2 linked regions of the Mus musculus genome follow. The protein of the gene in region 1 interacts with the protein of each later gene in a pairwise test. Links are inferred from orthologs where the notes say so. Each region holds a gene or a part of one and is shown in the gene's direction. Other genes may lie near its edges.

Evidence for each region. The genes of interacting proteins can lie anywhere in the genome.
Region 2: the proteins of Gad1 (region 1) and Haao interact in a two-hybrid assay, tested with the Homo sapiens proteins (4 studies listed by BioGRID and IntAct). The two-hybrid records come from large-scale screens. The link is inferred for Mus musculus from reciprocal best matches to the Homo sapiens genes GAD1 and HAAO.

Annotation. Positions count from the first base shown.
Region 1 is NC_000068.7:70,593,129-70,596,628, forward strand, and holds part of Gad1 (glutamate decarboxylase 1), read left to right. Parts: intron 1-303; coding exon 304-382; intron 383-1,495; coding exon 1,496-1,645; intron 1,646-3,500.
Region 2 is NC_000083.6:83,830,854-83,833,822, reverse strand, and holds the end of Haao (3-hydroxyanthranilate 3,4-dioxygenase), read left to right. Parts: intron 1-1,427; coding exon 1,428-1,496; intron 1,497-1,913; coding exon 1,914-1,996; intron 1,997-2,101; coding exon 2,102-2,180; 3' UTR 2,181-2,469; downstream 2,470-2,969. UniProt on the Homo sapiens protein: Catalyzes the oxidative ring opening of 3-hydroxyanthranilate to 2-amino-3-carboxymuconate semialdehyde, which spontaneously cyclizes to quinolinate.

The DNA of each region.
Region 1 (3,500 bases):
CTGCAAAGCCCCAGAGACCTTAGTCCCATTTCCCATCATATACCCCTAAAGCTCTGAGAACAGTAGGATATGTAAGAAGTAACTGGCTGCTGTTGTTAATAGCAGTTATATATAGCATTCTGTAGTGCAATACCTTGGGAGACTGCCTGAAGCATGCACTTCCCGCTGAGGGTCCATTTAGGAGACTGGGCAAGGAAAGCAGCCGTGACTTCCATGGAGATGGGCCGATGGGGTTTTCCTCAACAGGATAGGCTCTTCTTTCCCTTCCTCCCATCTTCTCAGAGGTCCCTGTGTGTCTTCCAGGGCCAATTCAGTCACCTGGAACCCTCACAAGATGATGGGCGTGCTGCTCCAGTGCTCTGCCATTCTGGTCAAGGAAAAGGTTTGTACTCGCTGGGTTAGCAGCCCCTCGGGAAGCCTGCAGGCTTCTTCCCCTCCCTCCCAGCTAATGCTGGTTTTCCTCTTGGCTCTTGGCTGCCCTTTGTCTTTGTCCAGTGCTTAGGGCCCTGCTGGTGATAGACTCTTCAATGAGCTTCTTTGGGTATTTCTTCATGTGTGGACAGACCTGAGAGTGGTTGCTGATCCCCATCAGTGAGAACAAACCTCGCTCACCGGAGCATACGTTGGGTTCTTAGTGGATAACTGTAGTCTCAAGAGCTGAAAAAGTTAGATGGAACAGGAAGTCCAGATCCCAGTGTAGGCAGCAGGAGCTGCTGATCAGAGTTTTGTAGGGCCAACAAAATGACTCAGTGAGTCAAGGCACTCGCTGCCAAGTTTGAGGCTCTGTGTTCTTTCATTGAGATTCACATAGAGGAAGGAGGAAACTCCCTCAAGTGTCTTTTGATCTCACACATACATATGTGAGTGTATGTAATACCCTCACACACACGAAATAAATGTGATTTCTAAAAGAGCTTCTGTGAGTGAGCTGCAGACAGAGTTTTTTCTCCCCACCCCGACCCCCACCCCCACCCCCACCCCCACATATACCCAGTGCACTGATGTTTCGTAGACCTACTGCAAGAGAGGTACCCACCTCAGGTGTCTCTTTTGGGAGTCAGAGCCCACACTGGCTCTCCTCCACTTACCCTAACATCACTGGGGGTCTTGCATAAATAAACTGGAAGACTTAGGGGGTAATATCTTTGGAGAGGAAGTTCTTCATAGCACCAGCTTCCCCACCTGCTGAGGTTTATCCTCCAAGCCCCACCCAAAGAATGACAAAGTAATTCCCCCACTTAAATGTCCAGATGTCTCTTAGAGGGACAGTGAGGCCCTTGTTTTAGACATCCAACACAAAAGAACTTTTTCTGACCTGAGTGGCAGAAGGGAGGCAGGGGAGGCAGAAGGCAGGGGTTTTCCCAAGAGTGTCTTTAAAGGACATCTGAACCTATGGCAAGCCTCAGAGGAAAGGAGGCGTGGGCCCCCGGCCCGTCCTCACACCCACATCTCTGACTGGTGAGGACAGTTGTTCACATCTTGATTTTTATGACAGGGTATACTCCAAGGATGCAACCAGATGTGTGCAGGCTACCTCTTCCAGCCAGACAAGCAGTATGACGTCTCCTATGACACCGGGGACAAGGCGATTCAGTGTGGCCGCCATGTGGACATCTTCAAGTTCTGGCTGATGTGGAAAGCAAAGGTATGGAGAGGAAATCCAGGAAGCAGGGAACTGTGGCTAGCCTGGGAACTGTGGCTAGCCAGGGAACTGTGGCTAGCCTGGGAACTATGGCTAGCCAGGGAACTGTGGCCAGCCCGGGCTGGCTAGTGACAGGGAGACAGTAATAGATCACAGATAGTTCACTGCATATGTAACTGTATCTGATTGAGTTAACGGTATCTCCTTTGTGAATGGGATAACTCTCTTTGTATGTCAGTTTTCACCTTTTTTGGTTCCTTCTCCTTAGTTTGAATCACCACAGGAAGTTCTTATTCTTATTATTCTCTTATTACTAAAAATTTTGCCAAGAGAAGGACTTCCACAATAATTCTTCTTAAATTTTACAAAATTTGTTTCTCTCTTCTCTCTTCTCTCTCTCTCTCTCTCTCTCTCTCTCTGTGTGTGTGTGTGTGTGTGTTTATGTGTGTGAGTGTGTGTTTATGAGTGTGTGTGAGTGTGTTTATGAGTGTGTGTGTTTATGAGTGTGTGTTTGAGTGTTTATGAATGTGAGTGTATGGTGTGTGCCTCAGTGTGCATATGGAGGTCAGAGGGAAACTTGCAGAAGTTGGTTTCCTCTTTTTAACATATGAGATTCCAGACCAAACTCAGACTATAAGGCTTGGCAGCAAGCACCGTTACCCACTGAGCCATATTGCCTGTCCTCCATAATAATTCTTAAGAACTCTAAAGTTATTTAGTACAAATAGAAAGAAGGTTAGAAAACTACTGTGTTGGTCTGGGAAGAAGGCAGCCAAGTAAAGGTGATCTGGATGTCAGAGCTTTGCATGGCCTCTGTCCTTACTATTTACTACTCCTTGTTAATTTCAATGATTTCCATAGTAAAGATTTGGACTAATTTTCCCTCCAAACACTAAGGCTTTCCAGCAATGTCTAGTCTGATATAGAAAAGACTGGCAGGTGATTAGTTTCCTTCCTCATTATGTTATCTCGTCTGAACGTAGAGTCTGGATTTGATTCTCCCACAACGTAATCATAGGCATTTTGAGCGTATAAATGCCTTTACTGCAATAAGAGAAAAAGCCCTGTCATTTTGCACTGCTGTAATGATCACATGGCCTGTCTCCATAATTACATCTTCATCTTGTCTAACAGTGGCCTCCTGAATTGTCTCCAGGAGGTTCAGCCCCTAAGTTGTGGAGGAAAGAGCCTGGGGTAGAAATCCTTTGCATGAGCGAGACCTCCAGCTCCACCTCTTGGGAAAGTTCCTGCTTTGCCAGCTCTGGATTCTGCCCAGGCTCTTCAGCCATCCACAGGCCAGCCTTGTGCATCTGCTCTCATTAACACCAACCCAATCAGCAGCCAGAAGGCTGCTCTGCTAATCAGCCATGCTGGCTTCTGAAACTCAGGCTCAGCTAGTTTGGGAGTAGTTAGAGCTAGTACAGTCTCTGGGCATGTGCTGAGAACCATGGCTTCCACACTTGCCTGCTGGCCCATTGCTGGACGGGGACACACTGTTCTATGGAAGGTGAATTGCCTGTGAGGACTGGGGACAGGTTTGGCCAGGATATATGGCGGGGAAGAAGCATTCTATCATAGCGTCTTTTAAAGTATGTGTGAAGAACTAGATGGTTGTTCCTTTCACCTATCATGAATGTGTTTAAGAAATGAAATGCAAAACGCAAGCCCAAAGTCACTACTTGTCGTTAACATCAATAGGTACATTTGTTTTAAAAGTTTCTTAATGGAACCAACAAGGTGACTTAGCCAGTAGAGGTGTTTGCCACCAAGAGTTTGAATCCCAGAACACACATGGTGAGAAGAAAAACCTGATCCCCATTAATTGTCCTCTGACCTTCACCCCCAGGCGTACATAAAG
Region 2 (2,969 bases), on another chromosome or scaffold:
TGGCCAGAGCTAGGTGGGAAGGCTAGCAAGGAGGCTGGACTGCTAGCTGCTTCCAGAACTCTGCTGCACTAGACTAAGGGAGGGGCCATGTCCTAGAGACATCGGGGCTTCGCCCACATGTTGGGGGAGAAGTCTAGAGTGAATTTCAGAGCCATCAGCCTTTCATTGTGATGTTGGGCCAGAGAACACCTACAAGGATGCTGCTATTCGCATGTGTGATGGGTTTCCAATGGCACAGCCTGTCACCAGGAGTCAGCGAGATGGCTCATTGGGTCAAGGTGCTATCTTAGGGTTTTATTGCTGTGAGCAGACACCATGGCCAATGCAAGTCTTATAAAGGACATTTACCTGGGGGCTGGCTTACACGTTCAGAGCTTCAGTCCATTACCATCAAGGCAGAAACATGGCAACATCCAGGCATGATGCAGGCAGAGCTGAGAGTTCTAGGTTGCTAGCAGAATACTGGCTTTCAGGCAGCTAGGATGAGGGTCTTAAGCCTACGCCCATAGTGATGCACCTACTCCAACAAGGCCACACATCCTAATGGTGCCACTCCCTGGGCCAAGCAGAGACAAACTATCAGAGATGCTTACTGTATAAGCCTGGCAATCCAGGTTTGATAACTGAGACCCACAAAAACGTGGAAAGAGAGCTGATGCCACAAGTCATGCATGTATGACCACATGTACACACATCATACATTCACATATAATGATGATGGTAATGATGAAGATAATCATGATGATGAAAAAGAAGATGAAAAGGAAGGAGAAGAAGGAAGAGGAGGAGGAGGACAACAACAGCAACAAGAAGAACAAGAAGGAGGAGGAAGAAGAGGAGGAGGAGAAGAAGAAGAGGGAAGAGGGCAAGGAAGAGGAGGAGGAAGACTTAAAAGTTAAACAGTGGTCACTCCAGGGCAGGAGGCTGGCAGAACACAGGTTTAGACTGCTCTTCCAGTACTAGGGACGCCCAAAGCTCCACCCACCACAGCCGTAGCTAATGGCTTCTTCCTACTCTGTGTCTACCTGCTCTAGCTCTCCTTTGCCAATTGCCATTAACCCCTCCTTACAGCCTGCAGGAGCGCAGGCTCTCGCTAATCATAAGGCCAGCAGGCCCCAGCCTCATGTTCTCCCCAGTCAGACGTTGAACACTTCACAGGAAGGGCAGTGGAAATCTGGGGGCCCGGGTTGGGTGTGTCTGAGTGTGAGCTGGTGACACCCATGAGGGCGTGTGTGTGTGTGTGTGTGTGTGTGTGTGTGTGTGTGTGATCCCTTTCTGATCCCTGACGAGTAGGCTCGTCACATGGGGAGGAGGCTGTGGAAGTGGGCACATCTTGTCCCTCGAAGGTGATAATGGTTAAGGGCCAGGGTTGTGACTATTTCCCAAATGGAGCAGAATCCCAAAACGCTCTGCTTTGTCTTCCCCAGGTCATTGCCCACGGACAAGGTAGCAGCAAAGGCCCAAGGCAGGATGTGGATGTGTGGCTGTGGCAACAGGCAAGTGGGATCCCAGGTTTGGGTGGCACCATTTCCTGTCCATGGGGGTTGGTTTGTCCCTGGACCTCAGGCTCCCATAGTGAGAGTTACTCTCAGGGCCTTCTTGCGAGGCAGACTCGGGGACATGAAAGCGAGAGTTGAGGCCTGATGTGCCCCCAGCCTCTTCTGTGGTTTTGTAGTGTTGGGGATGGAACTTATGGCCTCCTTATAAGAGCTCTACCATTGAACACCCCCTGCTTCCCCGTTCCCACACCCACCATGCATGTACTCATGTATGTGCACACACACACACACACACACACACACACACACACACACACACTTTTCTTATTTCAATGCAGGGTTTTGCTAATTCACTCAGGCTGGCCTTGAGCTCAGCCTCATCAGCCTTCACTTGGTTCTGCTGTTCTCTCACAGGAGGGCTCCTCTAAGGTGACAATGGGAGGGCAGTGTATAGCCCTGGCCCCAGATGACAGCCTGCTGGTGCCTGCTGGAACCTCGTGAGTATATGCCAGGACTTTCTGAAGCCATGACAATGATGCCCTTTTCCCTGGAACCCTTGGGCTCTGGCCTTGCCTGACTCTTATGTATCTGTGTCCCCACAGGTATGTGTGGGAGCGAGCACAAGGCTCTGTGGCCTTGTCTGTGACACAAGACCCTGCCCGTAAGAAGCCATGGTGGTGACCCTCCTGTGTGCGCCCCAAGCAGCCACAGGGTGCCTGAGTAATGACCTGGTAGCTGCCCATTTCCAGACAGCTCTTTCAGCCTCATTGCATCTCCATGGACATCAGCAGGCCCCTTGAGTGGTTGAGAGCTGTCACTGGCATCAACCCTCCTGCCTAGCTCAGCCCAGGATGCCAGACTCCTAGGACATCAGCAGTCCCCGATCTTCTAACAGCCATAGCCCTACACTGTCCCCATGTGCCCAGCAGCCTGACACTAAGAAATCTCTCAATAAAGGCATCCTGCTGAATGAGTACTTGCGAGTTTTAGGTGGCAGACCTGTGTTCCCCTGTCATGTGTTACTTGGGGACAACAGTTGCCACAGGGAGTTAGAAGGCCTGTTAATGTGTGTCATCACCTCTTGTGGATAGGTGGTTCCCTGTGCATGCAACCCTGATCCACACCCGCTCCGCATCCTGCTTATAAAGCCGCGTGCTTCTTTGTCTCTCCCTCTGTTCCCTGTTCATTCATTTAGTTGTTAACATACTTAAAAATAACAACAAACCCCCACTCTGCTGAGTTTCTTTCTCAACCACAGAAGTTATGTTATGCTAATTATGGAAAACAGAAATACCTCAAACACAGAGTTCCCCACCCCCAGAGGTAATCACTGTCATAGCTTCTACAAGTGGAGGAAAGGCAAGTGGGACATCTGTAGCTCAGAGAAGGACTTCAGCAAGAGGCCTGTAGCACTAAGCCTGCATCTGCACAGAGCAGGCCTTCCTGGGCAGCCTGGGCTCAGGGAGGGAC